4 linked regions of the Elephas maximus indicus genome follow. The main gene of each other region encodes a partner of the protein of the gene in region 3 in a complex. Links are inferred from orthologs where the notes say so. Each region holds a gene or a part of one and is shown on either strand. Other genes may lie near its edges.

Region 1 (7,553 bases), on a different chromosome or scaffold from region 3:
AGTGACCTGGAACGCAGGCACAGTCAGTGGCCCTGACCTCGGGCTGGTTTGTGAGTAGGATCTAGGATTCAGGCAGTGATTTTGACCCCAAATCTGGTCATTGACTCCTGTTTCCAGGACTGATCAGCTGCTCCTGATCCCAGGCTCAGTCAGTAAACTCAACCTCAAACAAGTTAGTGATGCTTCACCTAGGGTTCCTGGGTGACCCTGACTCCAGTCAGTGACTCTGACCCCATCCTGGCCAGTGCCCCTGACCTCTGTGTGACTCCTTTTTCTCCCCTCAGGTGCCATGTTCTGGGGTCTCTTCCACAATAGCTCCTCAGGCAATTCAACTGCCATGACCTCGGGCCCAGCCCAGATGCTGGCCCCTGGGCTGGAGCTGCCTGCGACTCTGCCTGCCCTGCGCTTGCTGCACACGCGCTTCGGCCGACTGCCCTGGCCACGCCTATTGTGGGGCCCCACCCTGCTGGCTCAGGAGGGCTTCCTGGTAGACCCACCTCTGGCAAGGGCGCTGGCAGCCCAGGGCACAAAGGGGCTCTGCCCACTGCTTTGCCATGCTGATGGAACCCCCCTGGGTCCTGGGTCCCGAGCCACCAACCCAAGGCTGGCAGCTGTGCTACACAGGGCAGCACTTGCCCCCACCCCAGACCTCACCGGGGACACCCTCCTGAGTCTGATGGCCAGTGACCTGGGGCTGGAGGCCCCCTCAGCTGAGCCCATGCCCAGCTTGGAGCCAGCCCTGCAACTGTCTGTGCCCCAGGGCATCCTGTTCACCACCCCCAGCCCATCAGCCGGCCCAGAACTGCTGGCCCTGCTGGAGGCAGCTCTTCACTCCGGGGCGCCCAGCACTGACCCCTGCCCACCACTCCTGCAAGCTGCCAAGACCCCCGTAAGCAGCGTCCTGGCCACCATCGACAGCAGTGGCTCTGTGCTCCTTCTCACCTCCTCACTTAACAGCTCCTTTGGCTCTGGATACGTGTCCCCCAGCACGGGGGTTCTACTCAGCAATCTGGTCACCAAGTCTGCAACAAGTGCCTGGGCTTGCCCCCTCATCTTTCTAGGCAGCCCAGATGACACGGAGGCTGATGTGTTGGGGCTGGTGGCTTCAGGGGCCCCCTCAGTGACCAGAGCCATGACTAGCGCCCTGCTCAGACACCTGGCAGTGCCCCAGACCCAGGCTCAGCACCAGCACCAGCAAGAACCAAGAGAGAGCCCCAGCGCTTGTGTTCAGGGGACCCTGCTCCAGGTGACAGCCCACGCAGAGCATGCCCATGTCTCCAGTGTCCCCCACGGCTGCTGCCCCTTTCAGGGCTTCTAACCAGGTAGGGTCTGGCAGGGGTGGGGCTGTCTGGAGCCTGGGGCAGGGCCGGGCAGGCCCAGGGCAATGGAATACACAAGGAACATGCATCTAATACATGCTCACTGCTGGCTCTGGCCCCTAACCTCTGACCTGGTTAGTTACCTGGACTTGAGTCCTGGGTGTCCAGGGCTAGCTCAGTCGATCTTCAAAGCATCCCTGCTGGATGGAGTTTCTGGCTTCTTTTTCAGCAAAGAACTTGAGGTGAATAAGGAGAGAGCAGCTCAGCCTGAGGCCATATGTGCATAGAAAACAGGTTGCCATCTGATTCTGTCTCACGGTGACCCCACATGTGTCAGAATAGAACTGGCCTCCATAGGGTTTTCAATGGCTGATTTTGCAGAAATTGGTCACCAGGCCTTTCTTCCAAGGCACCTCTGGGTACTCAAAACACCAACCTTTCAGTTAGCAGCTGAGTGCATTAGGCCTTTGTACCACCCAGGGACCCCATGTACATGGTAAACCTCTTAATTTGACTTTCACAAACAGGCAGCAGAGCAAAGAAGGTGTTGAGAGGATGAGTGGGGGGATGTCCCAGGGCCCTGGATACAAAAGGGGCTGGAGCTGGGTGTATGCACTTAACTGCAGAAGTTGGCCTTGATCCTCCTACCCCCTGAGGGCTGGAGTCTCTTCGGCCCACAGCCCTCTGGAGCCAGCTTCTCGGGCCCTCTCCCCCAAGAAACAGGGTAGCCCGTTGAACACTCCCCCCACCCCCGCACTTATAAAAGTCAGTTCTGATTTAACTGAACTCTTTATCCCACCCCCACCCACTCACTTCCAAAAAATTCTCCCCCAGCTCAGCAAATTGTGCCACAATCTACCTGGTTATTTTGGCTCCAAGTCTGCAATTCCTCTCCCCACATGCCCAATTCATCACCCACCCCTTAAAAAGAAGAAAAAACAACCCCCCAAGTGTGTCAGGGTAGAACAGTGCTCCTTAGGGTTTTTTTTCCTTCATGTTCTAATAATCGATTTTCTTTGTTGCTGTTGTTGAGAATATACACAGCAGAGCATACACCGATTCAACAGTTTCTACATGTACAATTCAGTGACATTGGTCACGTTCTTCAAGTTGTGCAGACATTCTCACCCTCCTTTTCCTGATTGCTCCTCCACTATTAACATCAACTCACTGCCATTGTCGGTTTGACCCCTTATAGATGGTCTCTAAAAGTCCATAAGGGTTTCGATGGCTGATCTTTGAGAAACAGATCAAAAGGTCTTTCATCCGAGACGTCTCTGGGTGGACTCAAACCAGCAACTTTTTGATTAGTAAACCCATTGCTGTCAGGTCAATTCCGACTCATAGCTACGCTGTAGGACAGAGTAAAACTGCCCCATAGGGTTTCCAAGGCTGTAATCTTTACAGAAGCAGACTGCCACGTCTTTCTCCCACGTAAAGGCTGATGGGTTCTAACTGCCACCTTCTGGTTAGCAGCTGAGCACTTAATCACTGCACCACCAGGGCTTCTCACCTGTGCCTACCGCCTCCCAATTAGCCCAGATCTGACCTGTTCTCATATCACCCTGGCCCAATCTACCATCATTTCTAACTGGTCTTCCTGCTTTTATCTTTGCCCTCCTACAATCCATCCCCAGTACAGCAGCCAGGATAATCTTTTCAAAACGTGGATCTGATTAAGGCTTGCCCCCTCCATAAAACCCTCCAGTGACTTCCCATCACTCTCAGAATAAAAGCCAAACTCGTGATCCCTGCCTAAGGTCCTGGCAGATCTTGCTTCTTCCACCCATCTTGCCAACCTCCCCATCTAGCCTTGGGGTCTTCGTAGCAGTAGTATCCTCTGCCCGAGGGTCTTTTTCCTCCTAGCTCTTCCCACTGGGGGCTCCAAGTGCCATCTCTTCATGGAGGCCTCCCTGGCCACCCTCTCCAATCAGTATCTTGGTACCTATTGAGTTCTATTTTTAACTTAATGTTTTCAATGGGTGACATATTTCTGTTTCAAATTTCGTTTGAATGTATTATTCAGCAATAAAGAGAAATGAGTTATCAGGCTATGAAAAGACATGGGGGAACCTTAGATGCATATGGCTAAGTGAAAGACGCTGGTCTGAAAAAGCTACATACTGTATGACTCCAACTGTATGGCCTTCTGGAAAACTCAAAACTACAGACACAGTGAAAAGATCAGTGGTTGCAAGGGAGAGAAGGGAGGGGGGAGGGATAGATGGAGAACACGCCAATTTTAATGCAGTGAAACTATTCTGTATGACACTGTAACGGTGCACATGCAACATTATGTATTTGTCAAAACCCATCAGACTGTACGATACTGAGTGAACCCTAATACAGACTTTAGCTAGTAACAATGTATCAGTATTGGTTTACCAATTGTAACAAGTGTATCACAGGAGTGAAAAATTGTTAATAGTATGGGAAACAATGTTCAGGGAAGAAAAGAAAACATAAGAAGTCTGTAACCCTGGTGCTGTAATGGGTAAGAACTACAGCTGCTAACCAAAAGTTCGGCACCCTTGGAAACTCTATGGGGCAGTTCTACTCTGTCCTAAAAAATATAGGGTCACTATAAATCGTAATCGACTCGACGGCAATGGTTGGTTTTTATATTTTCTGTTCGAAGCCCTTGTTCTGTAAACCTAATACTGATCTAAAAAAATAAAGTCTAATTAAAAACTGGGGGAAATAATTTCAAGTCTCTCTCTTACCTCTCTCATTGTCTTCATAATAATTATGCTTTTAAATGTCTTTGGTTACTTGCTCGTCAGTTGTCTCCTCCCACTAGAAAGGAAGTCGATGAGAGCAGTGACTTTGTGCCCACGGTTTAGGACTGCGCCCAGCACGCAGTGGGAGCTCAGTGATTGTATGGTGAATGCATTTATGTTCGGGGCGCAGGGGCCACTCTGGGACGAGGTGGATCGATTTGCTTCGCTTGGATTGCTTTTCCGAGATGGGCCCTCAGAAAAGAGCCCGGTGGGGCGCTAGGGGGACAGATGTCTCAGCTGCCCGGGGAGAGGGAGTATGACCGGGAGGTTGGGGAGAAGCTGCACTCACTGCTGTGCTGAGAGAGCGGAGGGGGGTCGGGCCTCCCCCGGCCCTGCTACGGCCCCGCCCCTGGCCCCGGCCCCGCCCCGGCCCCGGCCCCGCCCAGGTCCTCGCCTGGCTCCTCCCCCGCCGACCCAGTCCAGTGCGCATGCCCGGCGCCCTGACCTGGAAGAGGCAGTCTTCAGAGCCCACGTGTTCGTGGAGCATGGCGGAGATGGAGAGTCAGGACGTCGCTGAGCCCGTGTCTCCCGGAGAGGCGACCAAGAGCGGTGCCCCGCCTGCCGACCGCCATGGCTTGTTGCAGCACAGCCGCGAGTTCTTGGACTTCTTCTGGGACATTGCGAAGCCGGAGCAGGAGACGCGGCTTGAGGCCACAGAGAAGCTGCTGGAGTATCTGCGCACACGGCCGAAGGTACGCTGGCGGGGCCTGGAGCAGGCGGCCATGCAGATGCAGCCAGATGTGGCGGCGGATCCGGGCCTTGGGGCTGCAGGCACTTGGTCCCGAGCGGGGATGCCCAGGCGGGCGCCGGCCGAGGTGCGGGAGTCCGCGAGGGCTAGCTGACTCGTGCCACTGGCCCACGAGGCTTGCACTTGGTTCCCTAGGGGTCCGAGATGAAATACGCTCTGATGCGCCTGATCACTGGGCTCGGGGTCGGGCGAGAGACCGCCCGGCCCTGCTACAGTCTGGCCCTGGCACAGGTGAGTTGGTGGTCCCTGTGGACGGTGGGTGTGAGGGAGGCAGGTGCTCAATTGGCAGGAGAGGGGTGTCTGAGGGAGAGGTTGGGAGAGTGACATCTGAAGCCCAGTCCCAGGGAAGATTCACCACGTGGAGGAAGAGAAGGCGCCTCAGCAAAGACTGACTGCAAAGAAGCCCAGGCCCAGGGAAGTGGAGGGGGAGGCTCAGCATGTTTTCTTTTTTGGTGCACGGGTGGAGTGAGGCCCCTTAGGTATATTTGGTGGGAGGAATGAGCTTTGCAGTGCCCCCCCCCCCTTCTGCAGGGTCACAGCCCTGTGTCTCCAAGGGGCACCCAGCCGACTCTAAGCTACCCTCCGAGGAGCTTGGACAACGGGAAGGGCAGTGAAAACCCAGACCTCTGGGATCAGCCTGGGAAGACTCAGCAGGCTCTGGGGATAGGGTATCTTGGCATCTCAGTTAAGCAGTCTAGGGGCCAAGGGAGGTAAGGTTCAGCTCCTTTTCACCAGCAGTGTTCTATCAGAGCAACATGAGCAGCTTCAGAGGCATCCTTGGGGTGGGATCAGGGACCCCGGGCCTCTCAGCTGAAGTCTCAAGGAGAAGGGGAAACAGGTTGACGTCTGCTGGGATGTGGGGATGTGGTGGGGCCACCCCCTGAATCCTCTCCCTTCTATCACACCTCTTGGCAGCTGCTACAGTCTTTCGAGGACATTCCCTTATGCAGCATCCTGGAGCAGATACAAGAAAAATATAACCTACAGAAAGTGAAGAAGGTGAGAGCGGGTGACCCCAGGATGGACAGCAGCGGGGGGCGGGGGGGGAGGTGGAGGATAGTGAAAGGGGCGGGGTGCTGTAGTACCTGAGCTCTTCTTATCTGAGCCTGGAATCTTTTTCTAGGCAATGGTGAGACCTGCTCTCTTCGCACACCTGTTTGGGGTGCTAGCCCTCTTTCAGTCCGGCCGGCTAGTGAAGGTAAGAGCTTTGGGGTCCCAGGGGGTTCTCTCACCCGGGGCATGTGGCCTGGCTTGGGAGTGGTGGGGAACAGCAGCATGCCCTCCTCATACCCTCTGCCTGTCTGTGTGGATGCCAGGACCAGGAGGCACTGATGAAGTCCGTGAAGCTGCTGCAGGTCCTGACCCAGCACCACAACCACTTACAGGAGCAGCCCCAGAAGGCCCTGGTGGACATCCTTTCTGAGGTATGACCTTGGGTGGCACTCCCTGCTATAGAAACATCGAGAAGGCTCAAGTTAGCGGATGAGAACATGCCAAGCAGCACCGTCTGATAGGAATATGAAGGCAAGCTGCAGGTGTCATTTTAAATTTTGTAATAACTGCATTAAAAGGCAAAAAGAAACAAGTGGAATTAATTTTAGGGGTGTATTTTATTTAACCTAACGCATTTTAAAGTATTATCATTCCAATGTGCAATCAGTGTGGAGAGAAAAAAAAGGGATTTTGCACTCCTTTTGTCATAAACCCACTGTGTTTTACACTTACAGTGTATCTCTGTTCTGGGTAGCTGCACTTCAAGTGCTCAGCCACCTGTGGCTAGCAGCCACTGTACTGGATGGTGCCCATTCTTTTGGGCAGGGCTGGCCCCTCAGGGACCTACACTGCCCTGACTTGGGAAAGTGAGGTAGGCTAGCACAGAGAACCCCTTGCCACCTCTCTGGACTGAGTAAAGAGGCAAGAGGCCATCGTGGTTTCTGCACAGCCTAGCCTCAGAGATAGAAAAATCTGGATTCTAATCCCTGCTCTCCCATTGGCCCTCAGTTTAGGGAATTTTGTATAAGAAGCAGGCTGATCCTCTGAAGGATGTCCTAGGTGGCACAAAGAATTAAGTGCTCAGTTATAACCGAAAGGTTGACAGTTCAAATGCACATTCACCCAGAGGCACCTTGGAAGAAAGGCCTGGCAATCTCCTGAAAGATTGCAGCCATTAAGAACTCCACGGGGCACAGATCCACTCTGACGCACATGAGTCAGAATTGACTTAATGGCAACTGGCTTGATTTTTTTGTTTTTTGGTCCTCTGAAAACCAAAGAGGAATTACTGAAAGGGTTAGCCCCAGGTCAGTTAGCATCTAGGGATGCTTGTTAAAACCCGAGCTTCCTGGGATTTGGGAATTTGAATTTCTTATCAAATACCAAGCAAGGTGGATTGTGGCTGTCCCACTTCAGGCTGGCACTCTGCTGGGGACCTTCATGGGAGCCTGGCAGGTAGAACGGGATCTGTAGGGCTTACCCCATGGAAGAAGAGATGAAGGAAGCTATGAGTGAGCCACCCTCATAGAACTTGTCTCTCTGCCCCCAGGTCCCAGAGGCCACGTTAAAGGACATCCTGCCGAAGGTGCTCAAGTCTGACTTGGGTGTGGTGCTCAGCTCCCCTGAGTACCTGGAACTCTTCCTCTTAGCCCAACAGAAGGTGCCTGCAAAGCTCGAGAAGCTGCTGGGATCAGTAGATCTATTCTCAGATGA
Region 2 (7,733 bases), on a different chromosome or scaffold from region 3:
CTTTGGCTAACTCTTTCTACCAAAATAGAGTATGATATCTTGTTTTTAGAAGAACCAAATGTGGTGCTATATTTATATTTATGATCAGGTTTAAAAAAGAATCTGGTCATCAGCTCGAAACCATGTTAATTTACTGAGCTGGTTTTGCTGGAAGCTCTTTAAATAGCATCCAGACAACAGACTCATGCCACTGTCTAAGAACCAAAAGGAAGTACATTTCAACTAAACAAATATTTTTCAAGTATTTATCATATGTCAGGCACCATGCCAAGACCTGGGAGAGAGTAATAAATAATATGGACACGGTCTCTGCCCATGAAGCTTACAATCTGGGAAAGATATGTATGTAAGAGCTAGATATGTGGGTAAAAAAGATGTGTGTACAGTGTATGTAAAAATTCTCAAAGGCAAAACAGGTTTGGTTTTTTGGTTCTGTGGCAGAGACAGCAATGTTTACCAATAATCTATAACCCCTTACCCCCTTATATTCTCATCTTTGTTTTAAAGTTATTGTTGACTGTTTGGTCTCATATAAAGTGATCACCAATTTTTTGGTTAGTAGTTGAGTGCAAACCATTTGCACCACTTAAGGACCTTTCCAGTATTCTATACGTGCCCCCATACTGCCTAGAGTCTCCAGTTAGGTGTGGCCATATGACTGATCTGGCCACAGCCCAGTGAGCAGAATCATAGAAGACAAGACTTCTCTGCTCTGGTCCTCTATGAAAGATTTGTGTTGAGATAATGGATCTGAAGTCACCTAGAGCAGTAAGTAAACCACATGCCCTGGAGAGCTGACTAAACCACTAGAGGGCACTGTAGCTAGGGAAACAAATTTTTGCTGAATTAAGCCACTGAAATAGCCTATAGGCTCTGGACAAACACACCTTCTCATCACTTTAACCAAAAAATGTCCTGGATCTTTATAGTAAGTGTTAATTTAAGCTTGCACTTATTCATGTAGCACTAATTGACCCAGTGATGTGGTAGCATTGCTTTTGGTGCTGAGGATACCATGAGGAACATACAGCCTTATGGAGCTTACATTGTAGTAGGGAAGAAAGATGATTAAAAAAAAATTTTTTTTCAGGTAGTGATAAATGTAACAAAGAGAAAGGTCTTAGTTAGTGATCCTCCCTCCTTCACTAAGTCTCACCTCTCTCATGTCCTTACTGAGCTCAGCTCCTATAGTCCTTTTTTATATTAATCGTCCTCAACTCATCCTTCTCTTCTTTCTTCAAACTTGCCTGGCAAAATCTCAGCCTGGTTAAATCCAATTCTCTGCCTTCTCTCACCTACTCCCAGGTAGCTAAGCATGGCTGGAGAAGAATAATGGTGACTGGTCTCATTTTGACTTCATGGCCACTAATCCCAATGTGTCCTTGTAGCTGCCTGGCCATCCTACTACATTTCCTAATCCATTCATCTCCCATTCTCCTTCATGACTAGTTCACACTTCCTCTGTCCTGAAGCCTCCAACAGTCCTCTCCAACACACTCACTGCCAGTGATCTTGCTCATGATTTCACTGAGAAACCGAAAGGAATCAGAACTTGTAAAACTCCCACGACATCTACCAACCCCCCTCCCCTGCGTCTGTCCCCATATCCTGTCTTCCTTCCTGTTTCTGTATAGAAGCTTGTGCATGGTCCTATCTAAAGGCAACTCCCCTGCCTGTGCACTAGATTGTCTCCTCTCATCTACTGTGGTGACATGAAAATGTGCCACCCAGATCTCCCTTCAAGGTAGGACCTGTGGCCCAGCTGCAGTAGACAGCCTCCAGCTGTCAGCTCCTTCAGGGTCTGCCAGAGCTATAGAGTCACTTTCACCAGAAGGCATGCCCTTCCTGGGGCAGGCTGCATTTAGTGACTGAGCAAGGTGGGAACAGTAAAACTTGGCCAGGCAGGTCCAATTCATGACCTTCTGAAGGGCAGTACTCACTCCAGAGCTCCCAGCAGGGTTGGCTCAGGTTTTGTCAGACCTGCTTTGCAATTTGACCCCTTTCTTTGCCCAATCATACTTCCTCCTGCTTCCTTTCACTCATATCGATACCTAAAAAATCTGGTTCCTCAAATTCTGCTTCAGCATCTACTTAGAGAACCTAGCCTGCAACACCAGCATAAGGTTGGCTCCAGTTATTATCCCCTTCCTCCCTTGCATCAGAAACCCTGGTTGCATAGTGGTTAAATGCTAACCAAAAGGTTGGCAGTTTGAATGCACAAGGTGCTGCTTGGAAGCCCTATGGGACAGTTCTACTCTGTCCTATAGGGTCGCTATGAGTTGGAATCAACTTGACAGCAATGGGTTTTGGTTTGGTGCCTTGCGTCATCACTTTTCCCTTCTTTCCCATCAACCTATAAATACACAGTAACATCTCCCATCTCGAAAACCAAACTACCTTTGAGCCACTGCTCCATTTCCCTACTCCCCTGAACAGCAAAATTCCTGGAAAGTGCATCTGCTTACACTCGTTGCCTACCTGTCTCTCTGTATCCCCACTCTAGGCACTTTCTACTCATTATTACACAGAAACACTTCCTGTCAATGTCACCAATAACTCAACATTGCTATATCCAATGGTCACTTCTCAGTTCTCACCTCACCTGATCTTTTCAAAAGCAGCATCTGATCAACTGATCACTCCCTCCTTAGGCACTATCCTCACCTGTCTTCAGGGATACAACATTTGCTTGATTGGCCTCCCACTTTGACTGGCTACACCTGCTCCTTCTCATTTCTTGTGCTCATTCCTCTTCCTCTCCTGAACATCTTAACACTGGAGAGCTCCAGGGTGCAATCTTGACCCTCTCCTCATCTCTACCTATATCCCCTTTGTTAGCGATCTCATCTGGTCTCAGGGCTTTAAATACCATCTACATGTTGACGACTACTAAATTTATATCTTGAGCTAGAAATGTCTTCCCCTAAATGCCAGACTCTCATAACGAACTGCCTTCTCTATACCTTCATTTAGATACTAACAGAAATCTCATACTTAACATGTCTAAAACAAAATAACTGATCCCCCCAAAAGAAAAGTCCTGCTTCCTCCACCTGAAATCTTCCTTATCTTAGTAAATAGCTACTCTTCCTTCCAGCTGTTGAAGCCAAAAATCCAATATTATCATTGACTCCTGTCTCTTATATCCACACCCAGTACTTTAAAGAATTTTTCCGAATATATCCAGTCTATCTCCCCTGCTCTCAATTTCTTCAGATCTATTTTCGAATGTCATCTTATCAGCAAGACCTTCCTTAATCATCAAATGTATAAAACCCTGTCCACTGTACTGGCAGAGTCCCAGTGTGGTGCAAACAGTTAAACACTGACTATACCCAAAATGCCGGTGGTTCTAATCCACCCAAAGGCACCTTGGAAGAAAGGTCGGACAATTTGATCTACTTCCCAAAGATTACAGCCACTGAAAACGCCATGAAGCAGTTCTATTCTGACACACATGGGCTGCTATGAGTCCGAGTTGATTTAATGGCAAATGCTTTTATTTATTTATTTTTTTTGCTTTACTCTCCTGGTATTTCTTATTCCCCCTAACCTGCTTTATTTTTATCACTATTTGATATAGGGTATATTCACTTGTTTATTTGTTCATTGTCTTCCCAACTAGAAAGTAAGCTTCAACACTTGGTCTTGCTCTGGTTCCTAGTGACTGACACAGACCAGGTATTCAATAAATTTTTTGAATAAATGAAAGAAAAAGAAGGGTAAAGAAATAAAGTGACAGTATGAGGAGACGAGAAGCACTTCAGCAGAGAGACTTCAATGATGTGAAGATGCAAGTCATTTGAAGGTGTGGCGGGAAGAGCATTCCAGACAAAAAAAAGTTAAGTAGAAAGCCCAAAGGTGGGAATGAGCGTGTCCTCATGAAGGAACATCAAAGGCCTGTGTGGCTGAAAATGAGGCAACTATGTCTGCGAGATGAGAGCAAAGAGATTGCAAGAAGCTGCATTATGTAGGTTTTTGCCGAGCTGGCCCGGACCGGACAAATTCCGTTATTTTCTCCATTTTAACACACACACACATTCACAGTAACGCTCTCGGGCGCATCTCCTACATTTACAGCTCTGAAATCCACTTACGCCTCTAGTGATGTGAACATTCAATGTGACAGGGTTTTTCGTTACAACTATGGGGTCCTAAGAAACACAAAGATTGGGAGTCATCACCCAGCACAATCTCTGGGACATAAATGAGATCCCTCATTCACGAATTCCCATCCACCTCTGTGAAATTCTGCAAATACCAGCTTCACCGGATTTCTGACCTTCTTTGCCACCCCCCTGCCCCCCACCTGGACCCCAGCCCGTTACTGTTCCCGGAAAGACTAGTAGACACAATAAGCACGAAGGCCCCCTAGCGTTCTTCCGTGAGGCGCCGCCGGCTCTCTGCCCGTCACGCTCTTCCCGCATTCCTGTCCCGAGCGCCGCCGACCGACCGCCACACGCAGCCGGGGGTACCCGGAGCGTCGGCCCCGGAGCGCGCAGCCCCTCCACCCGCGCCCGGGGAACCCCGACGCAGCCCCGCCCCGGGCTTCCCGCGGAGGCGCCGGCCCGCCCCGCCTCCCGGCCCGCGCCCGCCAACTCCCATCTCGCGCCGCTGATTGGCCGCCGCATTCCCGCTTTCCTTCCCGAACCGCCATTTTGAAAATCTTGTTGATTCTGGGGAGCCGAGAGCGCGGCGCGAGCGTCACGCGCGAGAGCGTCCCGCGCGCCTTCTCTTCTGCGTCCACCGTCGCCACCGCTTCCCGGAGCCTCCTCGTGGCCTCGCGCGCCAGGCCTGCGGCGTCCGGGCCCTGCGGTGAGAGCTTCGTCGGGGGCAGTGGAGGCCGAGAGGCAGCCGCGGCGCCCGCCTGCGCCCGCCGAGGGCGACGGGGACGAACGCGGCCTTTTGGAAGGCGGCCGGGCGGGGGAGGGGATTGGAGCCGCCCGCAGGCGCGGGCCGGGCGCGCGGGGCGGCGGGAGAGGGCGGGCTCGGCCCCGTGGGTTCCCACCTCAGGAATCCCTGACAGCGGGCGGAGCAGGAGGGAACCCGCCCCAGGGGAGCGAGCGCAGCTGTCCCAGCTGCAGGAGAAGGCAACTTTGAGGATCGGTGTGCCGCCGCCCCCTGGTCGCAGTCCTTCACACCTGGCGCCGTCGTGGGCTGGCGAGGGTGTGACCCTAGGGCGCCTCCGGGGCCGGGACCTCAAGCTTCCACCCCGCCCGCAGGTCAACAACAGCATGTCCTCCTCGGCCCCCGCTGCAGAGGGAGAAGGAACCCCCGCCCAGCCCGCGTCCGAGAAGGACCCCGAGATGCCCGGCACGAGAGAGGAAAGTGAAGAGGAGGATGAGGACGAGGAGGAAGAGGAAGAAGAAGAGGAAGAAAAAGGTGGGCGGAAGTCTTGTCTGTTTCGATGGATATTTTAGTTGCAAGTTTTTCTTGTAGAAAACAGCTTTTTTGCTCTTTTTGCGCTTAAAGGCATTGAAGTAATGATTTGCAGCAGGAATGTGTGCGAAATGTACAGTTAGCTTTGTGAATTCCAGTGTTCCGTTTACACTCGTTAGCATTGCTGTAGTGACTCTGGGAGTGTAGTTGACTTCTTGCCAGCTAGCTACGTTCATAACATTTCATCTTTTGACAGGAAGTTTGTAAGGTCTTTCTTTCTTTTTTTTTTTTTTTTAAATCGGTGTGTACGTTAGCCTTTAAAGTTACTGAGTTAATTTTTTTTTTACTTTTTAGTAATTATGCATTTATTTTGCCTTATGAAGTTATTGCAGGTTCTTTAAAGAGAATCTTCATCTTAAAACTAAGAGAAGTCATTTGTACTAGTCTTGTAAATATTTTCATATATTTAAAATATTTTTATTTTTGCTAAACTTCGGGAGGTTTCTTTTCACGGGGAAACACTGCTGAGAGCTGTTGCTACTTGTACCTTAAAAGGAAGTATGGACTCAGAGCTATCATTTTTTGGACCTGAATGTGACTTAAAATCAAAACTGAGTGAAGTCAAGTTGAATCTGACTCCTATCAACCCCATGGGCCAGAGTAGAACTGCCCCGCAGCGTTTCCAAGGAGCAGCTGGTGGATTCGAACTGCAACCTTCTGATTAGCAGCTGAGCCTTAACAACTGGGCAGCCAGGTCTAAGGGAGGACGATATTAAAGATTATTTGACTGAAGGCATGAAGCAGAAGAACACGACAGAGTCGAGTGCTGTGCCTGTTTATCCAAGATGCATGGCGTGAGGCATCTTTGAGGTGTTTAAACTTCCTAAGATGTTTTTAACTATTTAAAAATTCAACTCACATATTCTGGCATTTTTCTGTATTAGCCCAGTCTAGGCTTACTTAGTATATGCCTACACCTCAGCCAAACTTGGGAAGAGTTTGGAAGTTTTCTTCCCAAATCCAAGTTTAACTGTCAGTTTCTTTTAAGTCTAAATATAAAGTGTAAAGCTGTCTACGATCAGCATCTTATAAATGCAGTCTAGGTTGAGATTACAAGGTACGTCTTTTGTTTGTTTAAAGTGGTATGTGCTTTAAGAAGGGAGTGCGTCCATAATTGGGTACAAAAACGCTTAGAAAAAAAAATAGAAATTATTTTTAAATTCATAATACAGTGACTGGAAATTAACTGCAATATCACTTCTGGTCAAAGACTTTCTCAGCACTTTCCTCCAATTTTTTGTTGATATTTTAGTCATTTTTTAGGGCATGGTTGGGACACCACAGTAGATGATGAATATTTTCTTTATGTCAGAAAGAAAGAAAGATGTCATGTAAAAATACTATTAATGGCTGATGTGGCTGACACAGTAATGCTTGGGGGGACTGGCAGTAGTTCAAAGAAGCCCTCATTTTGTTCTGGATGAATAAATTGTAATTTTTTTTTGAATGGTAATTTTATTTTAAAAATGATATAGTTCTAGTTATTATTCTGTTTCACTCCTTTGAGGTATTTGTGGAAAAACCAAAATTTTGAATGTTTTTATTCACCTAGCCCTGAAATTTTTTTTTAGCCCTGAAAGTTTACCTCTACTACTTAGTTTTCATGGAAGCAAAGCAGTAAAATTAATGACATCTTTGCCAAGCAAGAGGTCAGAGTGACCAAATTAGGCAGTGGTTTTGTGGTTGGGGTTTGTGGTAAAAGAGAGAGTGACAGTTTCAAAGATGATGCCTCGGTTTCTGTCTCAGGCAGCTGTGTGTATGGTATTACCATTTGCTGAAGAAAATAATTGACGGAGGTGAGCAAGTTTGAAGATGATTATGACTCCTGTTTTGAATTTAGGCACCTGTAGTTCATGAAGTAGAGCTGTCCCGTTGGCATACATAGTAGTTGATCTGGGAAGTCATTAGCTTATAGCTTGTTAAAAAACCACTGCCGTCAAGTCGATTCCAACTCATAGTAACCCTATAGGACAGAGTAGAACTGCCCCATAGAGTTTCCAAGGAGCGCCTGGTGGATTCGAACTGCCGACCTCTTGGTTAGCAGCCGTAGCACTTAACCACTACGCCACCAGGGTATAGCTTAGATGATAGTAAAAGGCAAGGAATGGTTCAGATTACGCAGGGAAAGGAAGAGGAGTGATAATAGTGTCTGCCTTAGAGTGCTTTCTCTTCATTCTTTGGAATATACCAGAATATATCTGCTGAAATCCATGTCTTGTCTGTGCAAATACATCTTCAAGCTTTACATGTCCTTCAAAGCCAGCTTCAGTGTCCTTTTTTTTTGTTGTTTTAGG
Region 3 (6,999 bases):
TGGATTCAAACTGCCGACCTTCTGTTTAGCAGCCATAGCTAGTCACCACTGCACCACCAGGGCTCCTCCAATTGATTGCATGTGATTTATGGATAGGCTTCAATTCAGTAGGTTCAAGGTTCAGACTGATGACTCAAAGTGATGGGGATATAATTATCAACTTAATATAAACAAATGCAGTTTCAATTATTTATTTTCCAATTACCGAGGTACTACCAAACTTGACTGATGACTTCTTGACCACGGCTTATATTTTTATTATACAAATATGATCAAAAGTAACATTCTTGGACTACTGAATGAAGAAGAAGGTCGAAATTCACTTCTGGAAAGGCCACGAGACTTGTGTGTTAAGCCAGAACTTTTAAACATAATTTCATCATTTCTGTGTTTTATATATGTATGCATGTTGTTTACATGGATGCACTGTTTAAGAAAAAATATGGTATTCTCTAGAATTTTCTCCAACAAGATTTTTATGCAGCTTCCATATGCTCATATTAGAAACTCACAGAATAAATGCAATGTTAAAAGACAATTGCCATTTTGGGGGGCAATATTATTTATCATGCTCCCTGCTATTTGTTGCTTTCCTTAAATAGTGAGCTGACTTAAGATCCTTCTACTTATATACTTAAGAATAATTTTAGAGATTTTTTTCCTAAGACTGTAGACTGAATAACTATTCTGAATATAAAATAAATATTATTTCTACTAAATACTATTTCTACTTTAGAATGTAAATATTAAATAAGTATTTACTCAATAAATATTTATTAAATGTCTTTATATTAAGTATCACTCTAGACACTACCTCCTTACCTTTTCTCGCCATCTTTTTGGGGAGAAAGAACATTGTTTAAAAGTGAGTTTTCTCAATACAATAATGATGATGTTTATTTTTTAAAAAAACTGGAAAATACTAACGAGCATATATTCTTAGATATTTCTTTATAGACTCAGAAATGGTATTTCTGATGAGTTGGGGACATTTTTCCAGACCTCAATTAAAGTATTATCATTTCATTAGTTCAAAAGTTTGCAGGATACATGTTCAAAGGATATCCCTTCTGTTTGAAATTCAACATAATCAACCATTTGGATCAATCTTAACACTTTTTTAAATTTTATTTATTTATTTTGTTGTTGTTGAGAATACACACAGCAAAACTTACACCAATTCAACAGTTTCTATGTGTACAATTCAGTGACGTTGACTACATTCTTTGGGTTGTGCAACCATTCTTACCTCCTTTTCTGAGTTATTCCTCCCCCATTAACTTAAATGCATTGCCCTTTGATGTTCCTATAGATAGAATCCTTCGAGTTGCTATTGTCAGTTTGGTCCCATATAGATAGCTCTTAAAAGGGCATAATGGTCAATAAGAGATTTTTTTTTTTATCATTTAAGCTAAACTTTTTTTTTTTTTTTTTGGTTTTAAGAAGATTTCAGGGGATATTTTTGGTTTAAGATTTAAAGATTATCTCAAGGCAATAGTTTCAGGAATTCACCCAGCCTCCATGGCTCCAGAGTCTGGAGTCTATGAAAATTTGAAATTCTGTTCTGCATTTCCCCCCTTTTGATCAGGATTCTTCTTTTTGATCTTTGATCATAATGTTCAGTAATGGTAGCTGGGCACCATCCAGTTCTCTTGGTCTCATGGCAAAGGAGGCAGTTTTTCATGAGGCAATTAGCCACACATTCCACTTCTTCCTCCTATGCCTGACTCTCCTTTTTGCTTTGTTGCTCCAGGCAAATAGAACATAAAAACCTGAAACCAAACCCATTGCCATGGAGTGAATTCTGGCTCATAGCGACCCTACAGGACAGAGTAGAACTGCCTCATAGGATTTCCAAGCAGTGGCTAGTGGATTCGAACTGCTGACCTTTTGGTTAGCAATAGTAGCTGTTAACCACTGAGCTCAAAATTGAACACAGATGTAAATCAAAACTACAGTGAGATACCATTTCACTCCAACTAGAATGGCTAAGATAAACAAAACGCAACACAAAATAACAAATGTTGGCCAGGATGTGGGGAAATTGGAACCCTTATACATTACTGAGAGGAATTCAAAATGGAGCAGCTGTTGTGGGAAACAGTGTGGTGTTTTCTTCAAAAAACTAAAAACAGAACTACCATATGACCAGCAATTCCACTCCTAGGTATATATTCAAAAGACTTGTAAGTAGAGACTGAGACTTGTACACCAATGTTCATTGCACCACTAGTCACAATAGCCAAAAGGTGGAAACAACCTAAACGCCCATCAACAAATGAATGGATAACCAACGTGGTACATATATACAATGGAATGGCACTCAACCAGTAGAGGAAACGAAGTCTTGATACTTGCTACTATATGACTGGAGCTTGAAAACATTACACTGAGTGAAATAAGTCAATCACCAAAGAACAAATATTGTATGACCTCACTTAACATAAAAAGGCAAGAAAACGTAAATGTATAGAGATCAAAGTTTACTAGTTGTTACCAGGGACTGGAAGGAAGGAGAAAAGGGGGAGGGCAGTTTACCACGATGAAAAAATGGCGTAGATTAACAGTAGAGTTACACAACGGGTTACTGTAAGTGCTGTCAGTAAGTTGTACATGTGTAAAAAGTTGAAATGGAAAAAGTTGTGCGATAGACATATAAAAATAACACACACACACAAAGAGTACCTGTTAAGGCTGCATAGGTACAACCAAATGCCTCAAGGGTTTTGGTTTGCAAGTTTAGAGTGATGGTATCATGAACATTTCAGTTAACTAGCCTATTAGCATGTTCAGTGCTTCTGCTCTACTTCCTAGTTCTTTGGGCGGTTCCTGGGGTCTTAAAAGCTTGCGAGCAGCCATCAGCCTTAACTCTTGAATAAATGTTTACAGAATAAGGTACATGGGAATACAAAAATGAATAAAACTCTGTGTAGGGAAGATAAGAACTTACTGCAAAATGCAGACTAGTTATCAAATAGTATACAACGTGCTTCAATTCTGTAATAGATGAACGCACAGAGCTTAGGTTGTTGTAGAGAGCCTAAGGCAGTCTACAAAAAAATAAAAAGTTGATTTTTTGTTAACACACATTTTTAAGGAGAAAGCACATTCTAACTTTATGCTTGGTAGTCGAGGGAAAGATTCAACCCGTACCTCTCTTTTCCTGTCTATTGATTAATCATGTTTCACTCACACCGTAGCGTGCGCGCCAATTTGCTTTTAGCATAGAAATTAGTAATAACTCTACATTGAAGGGAAGTAAAACGTATTTTTAAATTATTGATGTACCCACCAAAACCAAAAACCAAACCCAGTGCCGTCGAATAGATTCCGACTCATAGCGACCCTATAGGACAGAGTAGAACTGCCCCATAGAGTTCTCTAGGAGCGCCTGGCGGATTTGAACTGCCGACCTTTAGGTTAGCTGCCGTACCACTTAACCACTACACCACCAGGGTTTCCACTGATGTACCCAGTAAGTGAAAATTAACTATAAAAATCACAGTAAGGGACATTTTGCTGGAGAGAACAAAATAAGGAAGACTTCACTATGGATAACGACGGCGTTACGTCAACGCTGTGGCGTCACGCCTATAGATACAGGCGGCACAAGTATTAAGACCCAGCATAGGCCGCCACGTTTCAGTTCCCCGTGCTAAATCTGAGCAAGTTTTCAGGAAATGCAGCTGACCTCTGCCAGGCCAATAAGATAAGAGAGTCAAGGCCGGGGAGCCGTTATGAACGCGCATAGGGCTGCACTCGCGTCAGGCCAAAGAGCCAAGGGAAGCCTACGTAAGTGTCAGACGTCTCCAGGCAGCGCTCGTCTCCCTCGAGGCCCCACCCACTCCTCTCTCCAGAGCCCCCCACCCACTCGCTCTCCAGAGGCCGCTGGGGGCCCGGGTGATGCGGGAGGCGAGTGAGGGGAGAAGGAAGCGCATGCGCTCTCGGGTTCCAGGCAGCCAACCCGCTATCTCGCGAGAGTTGGAAGTCGGTGGCGTAGGTAGTTGTCCGAGTTGCTGGCGACATAGATGATATCTGACGGTGGAAGAAGAGGAGGAGGCGAAGCTAGGTCCTCACCTCAGTCTCTCTTTCGCTTTCCTTTCCCTCCCCCTAACCCTCCACCCTCCTCTAAATCGGCCTGCTTCCCCTGACCTCGGTGACCCGGCTGGCCCCGCCCACTCTCGTCGACGTGATTCCCGCCGTGAGGTAAGCAGCGGGTCGAACCCGGAGCTGCGCGGAGGAGGAGACCTACGACCAGGAGGAGGAGGCTGCTGGGTCCCGCTCAGGCCGTCACGGAGCCGCGGTGCCGGGGAGAACTCAGGGAGTCCTCTCGCCGGTCCATCAGCTCCTTCCCCAGGTCTAGGCCTCTTCCTCCATCCCTGCGGGACCCAGCCCCTGGCAGCAGCGGCTGACGCAGCCGGAACATCATGTCGTCCGCAGCCGAGCCTCCGCCACCCCCGCCTCCCGAGAGCGCGCCTTCCAAACCCGCAGCCTTTGCTACCAGCGGCGGGAGTAACAGCAGCAACAAAGGCGGACCGGAGGGCGTCGTGTCCCAGGCGGCCTCCTCTGCAGCCTGCGCCGGCCCCGCCAACGCCGAGATGGAGGTGAGGGACCTGAGCGCGGCGTGTGGCGCGGGGAGAGGAGAAGCTGGTTCCCTCCCCCTGACTTGAGGGCTCAGACGCGGAGCCCTGCTTCACCCCTCAGCACCAAACTCGGGCTCGGGCTCGGGCTCGTTGGATCCAAACGATGCTCTCGTCTATGCGCCTTCGTGCTTATCCTGTCTAGACTCAAATGGATTCCGAACAGTTTGCATGTAAATTATCTGCTTCTTTAGCAAATCTTGCCAAATATTCGGTGGCTCTTACTAAACAGATGTTCTTGATTACTGTGGCCGGGTGGGAGCTCCCCGTTTCTTTTCACTGGACTCCCATAATTCCCTCTCCAATTTGTGCGAATCTCGGTTTTAGTTTTCTCTGAGCTTGGGGGAGGGGTGAGGGATGTGCCGTTTGGGAGTGAGGGACAGACTGTCGCGGAGAGGGAGGCCGCGCATCCGAGGACTCGGGCCGCCTTTTCTTCCTCCGGGTCCTTGTGGGGCGGTATCTGTTCTGGGCACAAACAATGGCGAGAGCTGGATGGCCGAATGCGCAGTGGGGATAAGCGGGCGCAGCTGCTCTGGTGAAGGGACGAGAGGCCCCTCCCAGACACTGTTCCACTGGGAGGGTAGCGGCCAAGGCCACGGCAGATGTCCCAGACCCCCATTTAATTTGGGGGGAATGGATGGATGGATGAATGAATTAGTGAATATGGGGTGGTTGGTTGGCCTTCAGTCCAGCCCAACTCGTCTTTTGTGGCCTTGGCCTTTCTTTTCTTGTAATTGATAACCGCTATCTATATTCTAATAGATACTGTCGGCTCTGGTCAGCCAGGGGGATGGCGACTGTACTGCGGGGGTGGAAAGATAAGGAGCTGCCAGGCCCGGTCTCTTGGGTATGCACCAAGGCTTCGCAATGTCTGGGAAGAAAATGATTGCTCCTTCGAATTTCAGTCTTGGTCTCCGACCTGTTTTGAGATATTTTAGTGTCGCAGTACGAGGATTTCAGGATTTTCCCCTCTTTAGATAGACGGGATGAAGGTAATACTGCTCTAGAAAGGTACCCTGATGCAGAATTAATACAATCAGGAAATAGCGCAGTTTACCAGTAAGGCATTTGCCGCAGTAGTTTTATTTGGGCATCAGAGGTCTAATTTAGGGTAAAGAAATTAACTTCATGTTATTAGTCTTTGAAAGAACTTTTAGTGGTGAGGGTAGGTTTAAGTGGAATAGGAAATCTGATATTCTGGCTTTTCCAGTGATTGAAATTTGTTTCAAGCTTAGATGTATCCAGTGTTGCGCCCTTTTTTTATTTTTTTTCCTTAAGGTTTTTTAAATGGTTCTTTTGGATTCCTGCTTAATGGCTTCAGGGGGTGTGAAAACCAGTGAAATTGAAAGCATAAGGTTGTATGTGAATGCACAATTCTGCAAAGAGATGTTTGTAGTTTTGATTAACATCTTAAAAGGGGCTGCCATTCAGCCTTTGGAATAACAACATGTAGATGTCTCCCCAGAGGTCTTATTTAAATACCAAAAAGCAGAGTAAAGCCTGAACTAAATACTTTGGTTTTCAGTTGCTATTTTTGAGTTAAATTTTAAAAATGAATGTCAACGTGATGAAGTCAGTGGTAGTTTTCATTTGCCAGATGAGGAAATCAAGTCTTTCGCTAAGTAGAACCTTTAATAGAACCCGGGTCTGGCTCCCAAACTGACCCCTTTCCCACATAGCTTGCTGTGTCATATTTTTATAAAGAAAGATATTTTGCATTTTCATTTACTGTAGATGACCTAGTGAGTTATTTTACCTTCTCAGTATTGGGATATCAGTGATTTTATCTTTTATCCATCCACCTTTTCACTGACTAGTTTTTATTTTTTTCTTCACATTACAGTGACATATTCTTTTAAAGTAAATGTACCCTTAGTCTTTTTTTTTTTTTTTAAATTTTAAATCCAAATTCAGAAGGCATGGAAGTTCACTGATAAAAACTGAGTTTGAACACACAGGTATTATATATGCGACAATCTTAACCTGTTTCACAGTTGAAAAAAGATATTTTAAAATGCGTTTTTCTTTGAATGTAGGATGTAAGGTAGATTTCTTCCAAAATCAGGACATAATGTTATACCGGTTCCTAAGGGTCTTAGCAATGGAGTTACATTTGAATTTAGGTCATTTGACCTTTTAATCTTGTACTTATAACACCTACACCAGCTTCTCCCACTCACCTTTTTTTTTTTTTTTAACATCTAGCTTCATTATAGCGTGTAGTACCAAGCACAGATTTGTACATCATTAATGAGAATTATGCTTTTACCAACTGTTCCTATGTAATTTTTTTTAATGGATGAATGGAACTTTGCAGTGTAGAAGTTGCTACTGATTTTTGTTGTTTGTGGCATTTCAG
Region 4 (7,332 bases), on a different chromosome or scaffold from region 3:
ATTGATTTTAAAACCCACTAACCTAACCAGTTGCCACTGAGTTGATTCCTAATTATGATGACCCCACGTACTCCATGGAAACCCTGGTGGGATAGTGGTTAAGTGCAGCAGCTGCTAACCAAAGGGTCGGCAGTTCGAATCCGCCAGGCGCTCCTTGGAAACTCTATGGGGCAGTTCTTCTCTGTCCTATAGGGTCGCTATGAGTCGGAATTGGTCCGACGGCACTGGGTTTGGTTGTTGGTTTTATGTGCTCCACGGAGTTTTCCATGGCTGATTTTTCAGAAGTAGATCACCAGGCCTTTCTTCTGAGACACCTCTGGATGGACACGAACTGCCAACCTTCTGGTCAGCAGCTGAGCACGTTAACTGTTTGCAACACCCAGGAACTCCATAAAACCCACTAACGGGTCAGTTTAAAAAATATTGCTTTAGGCTACGGTGATATTTAAAACATTTAAAATTTTAAAAATATTTAACAACGATGGAACCATAGAGTACCTATTCAATTGTGTCTGCCTTCTTTCACTCATGGTTTTGCAGCTCACCAGCGTGGCTGTGTGCATCAGTATGAGCAATAACCTATTGATGGAATAGATCACTGTCCATTTTTCTGTTGAACATTTGGGTTGTTTTCCATTTTTTGAAAATTTGAATAAACTAGTCATTGATTCTGACTAAACAGATTGTCTTTTTTTTTTTCTAAAAGGATGTGAAATTTGATCTTAAGAAATTTCTTATTAATAAACAAAGTGAGACTGAGTATAGATAATGTAACACTTGTTTGAAGGCCTCTTCACTGCAGTGGCAATAGATTAATTACAGGTTTTAGAAAAAGCTTCTCTTTTCTTGCATTTACATTCCAGTTGGATGTACGAAATTCAGTTTACTACATAAACTGGGACTAGACTCTTGTAGCCTATAACCTCTTATCCCAGAAAGGCGAATAGACAAGGTGGTACCAATCATGAGTGTGTGTCCAAGAAGAGACTTAGTGAAGGCACGACTTAGTGAAAGCGAGTGTAGTAAAGCACCTCTTATCTTCTGGATGGATATAAATTTCTGAGGCTTAAGGACTTTGTCCCCATGCTAATCTGGATCAGCAAAGGCAGAAACTCTAACCTTATTTATCAGTCCCCTTTTGAATAACAGCGTGAACATTGGGAAAACAATATAGTGTAAAAGCTTTTTTTTCTTCTTTAGAACGTTATTTTACAACCTTATGAGAGTGAGAGCTGTGGTACTAGAAAGCCTGAAAGCAAAGAGATAGAAAGGAAGGGGTGGGTAAGGTTTCATAAAAAAAAAAAATAATAAAATAATGACATAATTAAATCTTTTTGGTTTCAAGGTTCTCTCCATAGAAATTACTTCACAAAGATATTATTTTCTTTACTACTGGGCATCTGGCTTTTATTTAAGGGCAGTTAAGTAATGACGACTTGATGGCAACTGGTTTTTGGTCTGATCTGCAACTGATCGTGGGGATGACGTGGTGTTTAGTTCCATTGTCCATGGGGTTGCCATGAGTTGGTAGCTGACTTGCCGGTAGCTAACAAGAACAAGTAACGACCATGTGAAAGTTTTTTTCTGCTTTTTTATTTTGGGTATCTTTCTGCAAAACTGTTATAGATGTGCTCTGGGTCAGATTTTTCTTAAACCAGGGTCCTCAGATCCCCAGGGTCTAGTGACACACACTAGGCAGTCTGAGAGTTCTACCAAAATGGTTTAATTTAGTTTTGCATTTCATTTCAAAGATAGCTTATAAAATTTCACCACTCATTAAACTTAAAACTTCTCTTTTGCAATAATAATTCATAACCATCAGACATCTTCCTAAAGTAAGACTTTAATTTCTTACATCGGTATTTCTTAAACTGGAATTTTCAAAAGTATTTGCCAAGTTTCAGATGAACTGTTTGTGTGTCTTCCTCTTTAAAAGTGATTCAGGAATATTACTCAGCCTTAAAGAGAAATGAAGTCCTGATACATGCTATAACATAGATGAACCTTGAAAACATTATGCTGATTGAAATCAATAACAAAAGAACAAATATTGTATGATCTCGCTCATATGAAATATCTAGAATAGGCAAATGTATAGAGGTCAAAGTTTATTAGTGGTTACCAGGGCTGGGAGGAAAGGAAAGAGGGGGTGTCAACGCTTAGGAAGCATTGTGTTTCTGTTCAAGGTGATGGAAAATTTGGGAACAGATACTAGTGATGGTTGCATAATATGATTAACACAATCGATGTCACTAAATTCTACACATGAAAAATGTTAAATTGGCACATGTATTTTATATATATTTAAAAAGATTTGACAACAAATCTTTAAAGGAAATTTTAGGTAATGCAAACAGAATGATAGCTGTTGCTTACTATATTTTTAAAACAATAAAAAAAGTCATTCGTATATTATTCGAAAATCACTATTCTAGGCAATAAATTCCTCCAGGAACACCTCTTTTTCTCATGATAAATGAGTATTCTTTATATAATGAGGACAATATAGACCACTGGGGTGGTGCAGTGGTAGAATTCTCTCCTTCCATGTAGGAAACCCAGGTTTGAGTCCTGGCTAATGCACTTCATGCACAGCTACCACCTGTCTGTCTTTGGAGGCTTATGTGTGTTGCTATGATGCTGAACAGGTTTCAGGGGAGCTTCCAGACTAAGACAGACTAGGAAGAAAGGCCTGGTGATCTACTTCCAAAGCTCAGCCAATGAAAATCCTACAGATCACGATAATCTGGCCTGCAATCAATCATGGAGATGGTGCAGTGTTTTATTCCGCTGTGCATGGGGACACCAGGATTCAGGGGCCAACTCCATGGCAACTAACAACAATGTATAGTTCTTTATCTTCCTTTAATCATAAATTGTCCTAAACCATTGCTGTTGAGTCGATTCTGACTCACAGTGATCCTGTAGGACGGAGTAGAACTGCCTCATGGGTTTCCAAGGCTGTAAATCTTTACGGAAGCAGGCTTCCACCTCTTTCTTCTGCCCCATGGCTGGTGGGTTTCAACTGCAATCTTTCAGTTAGCAGCTGAGCACTTAATCACTGTGCTATCAGAGCTCCTGGCCTAAACATAGTTTGTATTGCACTTTGCTTCAAAATCTTTTTAGGAGGTAGGTACTATATAGGTTTTAAATGTACTCTGAAGATTTTGCCTCAAAGAAGTAAACCATAGGCTAAATAAATATAGCTGAATTAAGTCAAAATTCTATTAACTTCTTCCTTCAGTACTAGCAAACATTTTTAAGTATTTAAAATACACCAAGGCATTACACTAATCATTTAGTATGAATTATCTAGTAAAATTCTGTGATGTAGATATGATCATCATCTCCACTTCACAGAAATTTTAAGAAATGAAGAATCTTGCACAATGTCATGAAGGGGTCCTGTCAACTCTCAGTTCTGGCTGAATTCAAATCTTAGGTTTCTAATTATTATGCATGTTGCTTCCCAAGTTGTACATTCTATTTTGCATTATTGTTGATTGGTGGTTTTCCTCTGGGATTCTTTGTGGGAGAATGTTCCTCTCTGTCCCCCAACAAAGTGGAACCCTGTCCTCTAACAAACTTTTGCTTTTCCACTAAGTTATCTATCATATTTGACTCGTCAGTGGAAGCTTACACACCTTCAGACGCTGGTCTCTCAACAAAGCCCCTTCCCCTAACACCCTGGTCGCCTAGCAGAGCCCAGACACCTGAGACCCTGATCTCTCAGCAAGGCACCAACGCTTCAGATCCTGGTAACCCAGGCAGAGCTCCTTACCCTCAAATCCTGGTTCCCCATAAAAACCCCGCCCCTCAGACCCTGGTGACACCGACGGGGTCCCGGTACAAACCCGTTCTCCTCAGACCCTGGTCCCCCGTCAGAGACCCTACCTTCCCCCTTCCGAACCTTCTCCCAAAGTCATGTCTTTTTTCCTACTCTCCTTTTTCTAATTCACTCGCCTCAATTTCCCCCACCATCTTGTGGCCTAGTTTCAGTTCCCGGGATCCCCTCAAAACTCACCGAACTCTCCTCGGAGTAGCTTGCCCAAACGGTTCCGTACTTTACCTCTCACCTTCGTGCGTTTTGCTCTCTAAGCAAGGCGCTCCCCGCCCCTCGCACACGCCCCGCCCCCCAAAAGTCTTTCGGCCAGTCAGTGCCAGAAGCCCCGCCCCCCTCAAGCCTATTGGCCATCGCTCCGGAAAAGTCCCGCCTCGTAAGCTTTCAGCCAGCCTCCCCGCCCGGCTTCCCTTGTTTTCATTCCCCCTGTCACACGAGGCAGTGGCGAAACCGGTGGGAGGGGTGAAGTAGAGGGAGGGAAGGGGGCGGAAAGTGAAAGGCACAAGAGTGCCTCTCTTTCCCCTGTCTGGCTCGGTTCTCGACTGCTCCGGGACGCCGTTGTATTCTGGGATCGCGGCGCCGTCCCTGAGACGCTCGAATCCGCAGGGGAGCCCACTCGATAGCGCCTCCTGTCGTCTGTAAGGCTACCCTGCCATTCCCTGACACCCCAACTCTCCCCCATCACCCCCCCATCGCCTCCTCCTCCATCCTCCAGTTCAAAATGGCGGCGGCGGCGGCAGCGGCGGCGGCGATGGCTTCTCCGGGCTGCCCAGGTTCGTGCCCCAACTTCGCCGTAGTCTGCTCCTTCTTGGAGCGGTATGGGCCGCTGCTCGACCTGCCTGAATTGCCGTTCCCGGAGCTGGAGCGGGTTCTGCAGGCGCCGCCGCCGGACATCGGCAACGGAGAAGGTAAGCGAGGGGCCCGAACGCCCGGCGGGAAGCGGCCCTGGCGCGCTCCTTCTCTTGGCTCTTTAGGGACGCCCTGGGCCTTCGCAGCCCGGTTCTGGGGGAAGCTCCCCGCTCGACCCTTCTTTTCCGCCCTGCCCCCGGGGTCCTGGGCTGAGGGGAGGCGGGGCGGGGGACCCCTAGGGTCACCCGGTTGAGCGGGGAGCGGAGGTGGGGGTGTCGCGGCTAGGTGTGGGCTGGGGGTGTGCAGGGGTCATTGTGCTCGTCGGTCGCCCGTGGGGCCGCTCTACCGCGTCGGGGCTGGTCCCCCACCTCCTCTCCGTCTCGGTGGCGGGGGAAGGGGAGCGCAGGTTCCGGCCAGCTTTGCGCTTTTCTCCTCCCTCCCTTGCTCTCTCCCCTCCTCCCACTATCCTCACCACCATCTCGGGGGAGGCTGGGCCCATCTTCTTGGGGCGTCCCCTTCTTTCCTCCACCTGGGTGGGCGGGGGTAGTGGGCACAGCAACTCTCCCTGCCACTGGTGGGAGCTCCCACGAGAGAGTCAGCTCTCTACCTTCTTCCCTTCCCCTTGAGGGCTGGTTTAACCCCCAAAACTCCTTCTCCGAGTTGTGAGGTCGGCCCCTCCCTTATGGGATGGGGTCCTCGTCCATTCTCGCGTTGGGGGGTGAAGTCAGTTCGGCTTCTCCACCTAGGAGGATAAAGGGTTAATTCCTCCTCCCGCATAGCTTTCTAGCTTTCCTTCTCTCCCTCCCCACCTCCCCCCAAATAATGGAAAAGCATCTCTTCACTTTCCCCACTCACTCCCTTCCCCCGTCATCTTGGCAGCAGGGCTTCGGGAAGAAGAAGTCGCCCTCCCTTTTGCAGGGTGGGGTGGGGTGGTTTGTATGTAGGCTGGAGGAGGGGCTTAGACGTAGGGGGAAACTGTTGAAGAAGGTGCTTGTTGCTCATGTTTCTCTCTCTGGTGCTGCTGGTCTATTATTGGTGTTCGCAAGTGGTGCTCATTCCACATAAGGCCACCGCGCGGGTGCAGGGCGCATGCTCTGCCCGGCCCCATTGAAACTTCCTGCTGCTGCTGCTGCTGCTGCTGGTTCTTTTGCTGGAGCATCTCAGCGCTGTGCCTGCTGCCTCCAGCCTTCACACTGAGCACAGACACCATCTACTTATTCCCGATCCATGCCTCTCCTTTTCTGGCATATTTCTTCTCGCAAAGGAGGGATTTTTTTGTTGTTGTTGTACTCTGAGTATTGCCTTTATCTGGGAAGGGCCTCTTTGGCTGGGGAAGAAACGTTTTCCATATAGGTCTTTTTTTTTTTTCTGTTTGTTGGTATTAGGTGGCCAAAGTGGACTGCATGTCGTTCGAGACAGCTGTTTACTTTCCAGTAAAACATGGTTGCTCTTCTCTTTTCCATGGAAATGGAGACGTTTCCATTAACAGAATATATTTACATTGCTAGGAAGGGCCCAAGTGTGAAATTTTTCAAACTGTTACCTATAGAGAATATGAAGTTAGGACTACCAGAGTCTCAATACGTTAAAAGACAGGCCCATATCTCTTACCTTCCTAAATCCCCTGCACCTTTAACAAATCCTGGAATATGAAAGGCTTGTTTTTAAAACAGTATCAAATAAGACGGTGGTTAATTACATTTTATAAAGACCTCCTGCAGAATTTTTTTAAAAAGCTTTCTAGTGTAGTCATTTCATTAATGACCTGTAGTCACCATTTATTTTTAAGGAAGTATTCATTGTGAAGTGGAACGCCTTAGTAAGTTGCTTTTAGGATACCTTGGAGAATGATAGTAATGTATACCAGAGAGAGAAATGTGGGAATTTGGAGAAAAGGATTGCTGGTAAATTGTTTTTGGAATTTATTTGAACCAAGTTCAAAGTCAGGCATAGGCTTTCTGAATGTCATTGTCTTTTGGGTGATATTCAATATTGCTTGCCACTGCGTTCCTTTCAGTATTTTGGTCACTGTTTGATACTACCAGAAAAAAAAAAAGAATTACGGTCAGTTTAATAGTTCGTGTTATCTTTCTATTTAGAGTTGAATGGTGGATCACCAGTTAAGTAAGAAACGGAAATTACCCTGGGCTTAGATGAATCACGTAGCTCAGCTACTCCATTACTGTTCATATATTTGCAAAGGGGACTGATGATGTTCCTGTCATAAGGTGAGAAGCCCTGCTGGCGCAGTGGTTAAAGCAGTCACCTGCTAACCAACAGGTTCATGGTTCGAAACCACCAGTGGCTCTGGGGGAGAAAGGTGTGCGGCATTCTGCTTCTGTAGAGATTTACAGCCCTGGAAACCCCGTGGGGTCGCTACGAGCTGAAATGGACTCTATGGGCAGTGGGTTTGGTTTTGGGGCAGTGGGTTTGGTTTTGGGATTTGGTCATAAGGTGATCTACGAATAATTATTAATGTTACATGTTTAAGATGCTTGGCAAATGAAAATTCTCTGCGGATGAAATACTGTGCGGGAAAAAAATTTTAATGATGGTCAGCCTACTTGTAATTGATGAAATAACTCTGGTCCAGCTAACAAGTCCAGCACTGAGTCATCTTGGGATGGAGTTGTGGTATACTA

What was found. Proteins that work in one complex are often made in the same cells at the same time.
Region 1: SMARCA5 (region 3) and MYBBP1A share a complex: the UniProt entries of both Homo sapiens proteins name them as parts of the B-WICH complex. The link is inferred for Elephas maximus indicus from reciprocal best matches to the Homo sapiens genes SMARCA5 and MYBBP1A.
Region 2: SMARCA5 (region 3) and DEK share a complex: the UniProt entries of both Homo sapiens proteins name them as parts of the B-WICH complex. The link is inferred for Elephas maximus indicus from reciprocal best matches to the Homo sapiens genes SMARCA5 and DEK.
Region 4: SMARCA5 (region 3) and RSF1 share a complex: the UniProt entries of both Homo sapiens proteins name them as parts of the RSF-5 ISWI chromatin-remodeling complex. The link is inferred for Elephas maximus indicus from reciprocal best matches to the Homo sapiens genes SMARCA5 and RSF1.

Annotation. Positions count from the first base shown.
Region 1 is NC_064837.1:16,665,990-16,673,542, forward strand, and holds the start of MYBBP1A (myb-binding protein 1A), read left to right. Parts: upstream 1-4,553; 5' UTR 4,554-4,584; coding exon 4,585-4,791; intron 4,792-4,982; coding exon 4,983-5,078; intron 5,079-5,762; coding exon 5,763-5,846; intron 5,847-5,970; coding exon 5,971-6,045; intron 6,046-6,163; coding exon 6,164-6,271; intron 6,272-7,389; coding exon 7,390-7,553. Other genes in the region: GGT6 (glutathione hydrolase 6), read left to right, coding at 285-1,318. UniProt on the Homo sapiens protein: May activate or repress transcription via interactions with sequence specific DNA-binding proteins. Repression may be mediated at least in part by histone deacetylase activity (HDAC activity).
Region 2 is NC_064819.1:63,692,712-63,700,444, reverse strand, and holds the start of DEK (protein DEK), read left to right. Parts: upstream 1-4,733; 5' UTR 4,734-4,815; intron 4,816-5,222; 5' UTR 5,223-5,234; coding exon 5,235-5,382; intron 5,383-7,733. UniProt on the Homo sapiens protein: Involved in chromatin organization.
Region 3 is NC_064831.1:41,246,757-41,253,755, reverse strand, and holds the start of SMARCA5 (SWI/SNF-related matrix-associated actin-dependent regulator of chromatin subfamily A member 5), read left to right. Parts: upstream 1-3,980; 5' UTR 3,981-4,427; coding exon 4,428-4,604; intron 4,605-6,999. UniProt on the Homo sapiens protein: ATPase that possesses intrinsic ATP-dependent nucleosome-remodeling activity.
Region 4 is NC_064825.1:44,265,696-44,273,027, forward strand, and holds the start of RSF1 (remodeling and spacing factor 1), read left to right. Parts: upstream 1-4,332; 5' UTR 4,333-4,562; coding exon 4,563-4,749; intron 4,750-7,332. UniProt on the Homo sapiens protein: Regulatory subunit of the ATP-dependent RSF-1 and RSF-5 ISWI chromatin-remodeling complexes, which form ordered nucleosome arrays on chromatin and facilitate access to DNA during DNA-templated processes such as DNA replication, transcription, and repair.